2 linked regions of the Schizosaccharomyces pombe genome follow. Changing the gene in region 2 together with the main gene of any one other region gives a genetic interaction. Each region holds a gene or a part of one and is shown on either strand. Other genes may lie near its edges.

The links.
Region 1: mutations in cmp7 (region 2) and les1 impair growth when combined (synthetic growth defect), as found in Schizosaccharomyces pombe (one study listed by BioGRID).

What each region holds. Positions count from the first base shown.
Region 1 is NC_003424.3:1,035,967-1,040,076, forward strand, and holds les1 (nuclear bridge Ish domain protein Les1), read right to left. Parts: upstream 2,244-4,110; 5' UTR 2,217-2,243; coding exon 2,150-2,216; intron 2,096-2,149; coding exon 867-2,095; 3' UTR 673-866; downstream 1-672. Other genes in the region: SPOM_SPAC23C4.04C (uncharacterized protein), read left to right, coding at 67-377, 431-542; efm6 (methyltransferase), read right to left, coding at 2,700-3,683. UniProt on the Schizosaccharomyces pombe protein: Inner nuclear envelope protein involved in nuclear fission, which is achieved via local disassembly of nuclear pores within the narrow bridge that links segregating daughter nuclei.
Region 2 is NC_003423.3:3,896,107-3,900,266, reverse strand, and holds cmp7 (ESCRT III complex subunit), read right to left. Parts: upstream 2,182-4,160; 5' UTR 2,172-2,181; coding exon 1,893-2,171; exon of another isoform or gene 1,850-1,892; coding exon 1,448-1,849; exon of another isoform or gene 1,387-1,447; coding exon 718-1,386; 3' UTR 577-717; downstream 1-576. Other genes in the region: protein Tti2, read right to left, coding at 1-101, 146-220; trs8501 (TRAPP complex subunit Trs85), read right to left, coding at 2,881-4,160.

The sequences.
Region 1 (4,110 bases), on a different chromosome or scaffold from region 2:
TCTTTGACTAGCAAAACTTATAAGTAAATAAGAATTATTAACTGTTTAAATCACAAATGAGTGTACATGTTTTGTTATTTCCTCAGTAAATCCTATGATGATTGTAGTCGCTATTATATAATTTCCAATATGGCTTTCTATTTCCCAGTTTATGATTCGGACTCTCCGACTACAGTGCACCATGATGAGCGGAAGGAGTCGTGGCGGTCCCATGGGTTTATTGTTTGCTTGCACATTAGGTGTTGCATCTGCTGTAAGTATAATTCAAAAATTAAAAAACCAAGCTTGAATATAGCGCTGAGAATTCAATCCCTCAAAATAATAAAAATACTAATCTTTCAGTTTTATTCTACAAAACCACTTTGGGATAAAAATAGGTAAATTGAATCAAACATTTATAAAAATGGCTAACTATAGTGGGGAATGATAGCCCAGAATATAAGCAATTGCGTTCGGAAATTGAAGCTACAAAACGTGATGAAGAGGTAAAGAACGGCGAACTTATCGACCCCAATGTAACAACAGAAGACGAAAAACTTTGATCAGGGTTTATATTAAAACATTTTTTGTCTCATCATATTCGATTTTGTTTCATGAGAAATCTTCAACCTCATTAATATTCTGCAAAAAAAACTTACATACTAAGTAACTTTGTAGAGATTATTATAACTGTTCCGTAAAACTACCCATTTTATTATTTTTAATAAACTAGTACTAAATGAGAAAAAAGCAAATCTGAGTTAAGTATCTGTTATAATAAATGGCAACAAAAAAAAATAAACTAGAAATATACAGTTAATGAACAAGGCATGGCTCCAACTTCGAGTGGTCAATTTTCAATGGTACATTACCGACACAAATGGTATTTACTGCGAAAGTACAAAAGCCCTTTTAAGCGAGTTACCCAGGAATGTTTGCCAATAATGTATTCTGTTCAAAAAGGCAGGACCTCGTAAATAGTAATACAGGTGGGGAAGTAATCGTTCAAAAGCTTTGGTAGATGAAAATGGAACGGGGACAAGTTCGCCAAATGACTCCAATTCCTCTTTGAGTTCTTCTTCGGTCCAGGTAGACTGTTTGGAGACAGAAGGATGTGAGTATAAAGAATCGTTTAGCGATGCCATGTCAGAAGAGCTCCATTCAGAAGCAACATCCATATAAAATAATTTAGCAGCATGAATAAGTTCATGACGCGAGTTGTAAGCAACATGGGAAAATATGGAACCACGTTTATTGTACTTCCAAATCCAATCTAATAAGTCCTCAGACGACCATCCATCTAGTACGTTGGAGGCAATCATTACACGCGGTGTGAAGCGGTTAGCGTATGCTTCTTTCAAAAGAGTTTCCCGAGGTGAAAGAACAGAAATAGGAATGTTTCGCTCTCGCAAAAAATCAATAAGTCTACCGTCTGACCATAAGTGAATAATTTCTTTCATATATGGTGCAGGCTGGCTATCTGTAATATTTGTCACTTTGTCTTGCGATTTTCTTTCCTCAATATCGTAATAACGTCTAGCCAAGACGATTAGGTCGTCATGTGATGCACCAATTGGTACTGTAATGTTTTTCTGATCCAACATAGAAAGGAGTAGATTATTTGACCAGGATTCCAACTCATCATTGGTGGAAATGGCATCGCCCATTGATGCTTGGAAAACTGTTTCCAACAACTGCTCTCGGGTTCCAGGCTCTGGAACTTCGTACTTATTCTTAATAAGCCATCGAGAAAGCTCGGAGTTGGTCCATGAATTGAAAATCCAAACGTCCAATTTTTGTGCGTTATGAGAAGCATGATTCTTCTCCTTCTCATAGAAAGATTTACATTTGTCGGTTACCTTTGATACATACTGTAATGGCTTCCTCCAAAACTGTGAAGGAGTCTCGATAGGAGGAACGTCCAGTGACTTTACCCCATGATTTTGGAGAAAGTCATCAAGCTTTCGTTGAGGCCAAGAATCGGCTGGTCCTCCTATTTTCCCCTTTTCTCTACCGGCGTAAACGGTTCGCTGAACATACTTCGTAGTTGTACTAGGCGCATCATGTATATCAGCTGCAGTCGCTTCAATAGACGATATGTGGCCTGTAATCTTGCCTAGACAATGCCGGGTCAGCCGCTGTTTCTGTAGAAAAGCAACTCAACACTTACCAATTGACAGACAAAGCTGTATTCCTAATGCCAAAAGCGCTCCGTGTAGAAGAAACCTTGGCTGCATTGTATTTTTCTATGTGTTTGGGTGAATGGATGGTGCGTGATGCTTGATGGGTATTACACTTGGTATGCGCTGCTATATGACGTAAGCCGAGCCAGTTTCAAGGCATACAGAGAACAGGGTAAATAAAGCAGAATAAATAAAGGAAACTGCTTTATATAATGTTGAGTTGTTTTTTTATCAAAGAATATGCTAAATCATTAAATTCGCGCCAGTCGTCATAACACCATTCAAAAAAGCTGGAAGCCGAAATTCAATTTTACAGAAAATGTACTTTGCAGAGTTTACATGGGTTCCCAAGTTCGCTGATAGTTTAGATGCAAAATTGGTTTTATGCGATGCTACAAATTTTATAGACCGTTGTGTATAAGAACCCGAAAAGACATCTCAATATAAACATGCTGCTACAAAAAAGTTACGAGATTCGCAAGTTGACAGATTCAGCAACGCATCCTAAGAGAAAAATGAAAATGATGCAAAGTAAATTTATTTTTTCTGTAAAATGTAAATAGTGATTGGACCACGTTCTTCGTAAACAAGATCCAACCATCCCAATATATTGCTCATAAAAGTTTTTTCATTGTCATGTCTTTTTTTGTACGCAATATATAACTTTGTGTTCTTATCCATCAATTCCTGAAGACTTGCCTCCAAATCAGAAAAGCTAGATTCATTGTACATGACATCTGACATAACAATATAATCCCAATGACGCCGAAATTTTCGAGGAATGTCATGTCCCCATACTAAAATATCAGAAGTTATGTTGTTGCTCATTGCAGACTTATTCTTTTCAACATTTTTTTCCATAAATTCAATCGCATCTTCTGTATCGGTCATTGACACAAGAGCACGTGGATATTTGCTAGCAATACTTATACCAACAATTCCACATCCGGAGCCTAGTTCTAAAACATTGATGTCTTTTCTATTGGAAAAGCTATAATGCCAATCATCAGAAAGAATCTTTTTTGAGAAAACTACGCCGGCATCCCACAAGTGCTTAGCAATACTGTTACCCATCTGTTCGAGAAACCAGAGACCATCGTTTGGTGACTTTTTTTCTGGGCCTTGGATATACCGCCATACCATATTAGGTAAAGTAGATTTCGGTGAAAAAGCTTCACTCCAAACTGGTAATACAGTATCGGCATTTATGTGTATAGAATCAACGATTGAATTCTGATTTTCTAAATGCAGCGTCAATTGAATTTGCTGGTGACTAGCAGGAAAATACAAAGTCGTTTCAGCCGCGTGACCATTCCCTATCCATGAAACACATTGCTTAGAAATTGTGATACGACTGTGAGATTGTTGTCTATCCAATGCTTCAACCCTTACGGTTGCATCTTGCGGATATGAAACTTCGCCCAGATCAGAAGTTATCGTAAAAACCACTCGTAAAGCGTATTTAAAGGATTCTTCGAGCTTTTCTTGGAGTCTTAAAATTCTAATATAATAGAAAGTCATTCAAGCGTCCAAATACTTTAAAAATCCTTGGAAAAATAAAGAAAAGGGGGTCTTACAGAAATTTTTTTAATGATCTATTAACGTTCAGTTTCCCTTTAAACCACATTCACCAATCAATGAAATAAACCACTAGCAATGAAATACAAGTTGGTTGAAAAATTTTTTTTTTCGCAATTTGAAAAACTAAAATTCTCTGAAATATCAGATTATCGCCGCAATATGAGAGAGGGTAAACTGATCGTAAAAGCAAAACAATTGAACTAAGTTGTTAATTCATGCAACCCGGTAGCAATCATCATGAAAATAATCTCTGAATTGTTGTAAGAAAAACGCATGGTAGCAAACTTAAGTCGCAAGCAGAGCAACGAGTCATAACTGATAATACGAATATTCACATAAGGAAATGAACTTTATAAACACTCAATTA
Region 2 (4,160 bases):
CAACTTTCAGTAGGGCTAATGAACTCTAATAATGGCCTCAAATCTTGTTCATGAACCAACGAGTCCACCTCTACCACCAATTTGTCCAAAAAGTCTATTTGCTATATTTGGTTAAAATTTGAAAATAGTGAATTAAAAACGGTACTTTTTCAAGAGCTTCTTTTTCATTTTTTGATTGTAGAGTATGCAATCGCCTAGCTAGCTCTTTGTAATATTGCATAGATATTGCCAATTTAAACTTCTATTAGATAATTATTAAGTCTAATGTTTTATTATTTGTTTGATTTGTAAACAAAGAATATTAACAGAATTGTAATGTCACTTAGTTATTAGAGAACTTAAATTCTATGAAAAAAGTATTTCATGTTAAGCTATGGTCATACACTAATAATATAAACTTATAGAGTATGTGATATACTGTAAGTTTCTAAGTCGTTGCCAAGAAATCAATTTAATAAATTAACAATTTACTAGTTTTTAAAGGTATAAAAAGCAAAATTTTTAGTAACTAACATCAATTCATTACACAGGTACTTTACCTTATCGCTTTAGCTATATAAGTTCTATTGAGTATATAAGCATTATTGTTTTTTATAGTTATTACCAAGAAAAATGTTTTTATAGTATTCATTTATTCTTTAGTATGTGCATAAATTATTAGTAAACCAAACCATTTCCCGTGAATTTAAGTGATCGTTAAAAAAGGACGTATATAAATTATTGCTCAACCAGCTCAGCTTGAATCTTCTCCGGTTTCGAAGTCTTTTTATCCGAGTCAGTATTAGTAAGGGTAAAAGTATCAGATGGTGTTTTTAGAGAAACATTGCCTAATGTAGACACGATATCTTCAACCTTCTGTTCTTCAGCTACCAAATCCTGCCATTCTTTTTCAACGGCTTCATCCTCTAAATCAATGTTTTGAGGATTGTAAGTTTGAATAGTTGCATCAATCTCTTCCGAACGAGCCAGTGTATCATTTACGTTTTCTAAGACATCTTCCACTTTTTCAGTTCCACCCATTTGAGCTAAAATTGCGTCTAGAGCTTCAGAGCCAGAAGACATTGCAATAAGCAAAATTTTGTTGTCAACCGCATTATCAATATTAGAAATTATAGTATCTAATTGCAGACGCGAAGAAACTTTCCTTTCCAAATCTTTAGACAAAATCTTTTTTCGACGTAAATAAGTTATTGCTATTGTTTTCTCTCCCTTTTTAACTGCTTGGTTTAGCACTTGTGAAAGTTGCTCCAATTCCTCGTTTAAAAATTCTGATCTTTGGGCGATGGATGCCCTAGCCTGTATCAGATCTGCAACAGACCCATCAATAGACTTATCAATTGAAGCTAATTGAGCATCAATTTGGCTGTTGGGTAAAAACTTGATTATCTATTCTCGTTAAAAAAACGGTATCGACAAATAGCTGAGAAAACATATAATCTGAACTTACCTTAGAATCAAATATTAAAACATGTTTTTGATAGCACATCCAATTAAGAAGGCATTCCATCTCATCCTTGTTTAATTTTCCTTCTTCCCAGTATAAGCTTCCAAAAGTATCTTGAAAAAAGTCCCAAGTATAAATTGCACTCGTATAGCTGCTGCACCGTCGCATTGCTTCATTGTGTACAAGGCAAGCAAGTTTCTCAATATTTTTTCGAATTACATACTGCCCACTCGGGGATCTATTTGACAATATGGATGAGGCTTGATTTTGAAACCCAAGTTTCTGAAAACTCCACCGTAGAATTGAAAAAATAGAAAAACCGTCTTCTCTTACTAAATTTCCTTTTTTACAATCGTTCAAAAAGTCTTGCTTACGAAGCCAAACCCCTTGCTGGATCCAGTAAGCCTATATGCTTATTAGCTTCAAAAAAAATGCTTAATTCACGTACCGCAACAGCACCAAGGCTCAAAGGTCTACCTAAAGCAGGACTTGAAAACGCACTTTCAAAAGTCTCATCGAAAACTAAGATTATCCTAGAATTCAACTTCCCAGACCATGCGGATGTTTCAATTGCTTCTCTCCAAGTATTTACGTTTGCCAAAAATCCTTCAGGATTTTTTATAAACAGACTCGTAAAGTCAGAATACAGGCTTTTTAAACGAGTTTTTGTAAAAATTCCTTTATTAACAGAAAATTCCAAAGCATTGACTTTCTCCTTTTTTCCCATTCTGTCGTATATTCCTGAAGCTACCTGCGTGGTTTACTATATACAGTTTTCAAACAGAATTAATGGTATGAGGTGACTTGTCACTTGTACTTTTGTAATGTTACAAATTGCTAAATTTGGAGTTCTAATAAGGTGCTGATGATTTGTTTTCAAAAATTCAGACAATGAACAATTTATTCTAAAACTGATAAGATAGACAAGTTATAATAACATCAGCAATTTCGTATGAAGTTGACTAATGTAAAATCGCATATATCTAATATATGTTATATTGAGTATGATACTAAATTATAATTTTGATATAATAAATTATAATGCTAATGCTACATTTTAAATTGGAAATCCTAAGCTCCTTTATGCCAGCTCCTATTCCTTTTTCAAATCTTTCAAAATTATAGCTTACACCTCTACTCTTTGAATTTCACAGTTATTTTTTATATATACTTTTTATTTTAAAATAATTATTGACATCAGTCTAAATTCTAAAGCAACATTTCAAAAAACGTGAACAAAAAAAAAATGAAGTTTTAATTTCTAAAGTCATTAACTAGCTAATTGAATATAAATATGATACTGTAAGCGGTAATATAATTTTTCAACTTCGCATTAATCGCGCTTGAATTAATAAGCTCATAACCAAAATCGAAAGTTTAGCACCTACATAAGCAGATCTTGTACCAAAGATTGCCCAGATGACAGGATGAGTTGTCTAATGAAAAGTATTTTTCACCCGAAAGTTTTCGGAAAGCGTTGGTTTTAAGTCCAGCATATGTTCAGAAAGCGATTCCCATCCTGATTTTGAATACACACGATTAGCAAGATTCCAGCAAATCTCTGCCATTTTACAATGGCCACAGTCCCGCCAAAAGCCAGCGCTATATGCAAACCAAAAAGCAGCTTTTCTGCGGCGATTTCCATCAGTAACACCAACATGTTCCTTATTACTATACATTCCAGCTATTGTCGTATTTAAGAAAGAAGTTTCAAACGGATTGAGGGAAATAGGGCCTGGTTCCAATATCTTTGCAAGCCAGGATGCTGCAAAGTCGATACTAAACGCAGGCTTCAACGAGAGCAACAAGCTTGTAACTAGCACACTTCTAAATGTATAGTAAAAAGAGTGAAGACGAACAGCATAGATATAAACCATTTCGTCGAACCATTTGTTCAAATACGAAATTTGCGACTTCAAGCTGATATTCCGATTTTGCATTAACAGACATATTATTTGGATTTCCTCGCAAGACGCTAAATAATTCCAGGCTTTGTCTTGAGAAAATGTATTCCGAATCTCATCATAAATTTCATAAGCACGTTTGTAATCACGAAGCATAAAAGAAAAATCCGCCATTTTTCTTTTTATGCTTTCCTGCTTTTCTGAAGAATAAATAAGGGATAGTGGATCATAGTTACCTTGAGAATGGCTTGAATGATTACGAGACCAGTATTTTTTGGAGGCAAATAGAAGCCTGGTAGTTAAATTACCGTATTGAGGGGTCAGATCTTCTTCCCAGGCCCGTACGCATCTTTGCATAAAAGGATATATACTATCATACAACATTGTTTGAACAAACTTTTTCATCCCTTCCACTTCTTCTACAGGCAGTAAAGGATAAAGAGGCAAACACGATTGTTCGGATTCGGCCTGAACTTCTAATGATGATCTCCATTCTGGAATTGGAAATTTTCTTAAATTTTTAGTCACAAATGTTATCGGTTTGGCATCATCACTAGATGAACAAAAGCTTTCGCTTTCCATCGAATCTCTAGGTGCATTTTTTAATGACTGTATAGAAGACGTATCATATCTGTCAGTATCTAAAGGTTTCGCTGATATGTAATTCGACCTTAATCTAATAAAATGAGAGTTTGCGCCAAGACTTCTCCGCATTTGCTGAAAAATTTGCTTCGAATTTGAAAGATCGTTGTTATCTTCATCATGTATAAACAAATAGTAATGTAAAATTTCTTTAGAAATAAAATTAGGAA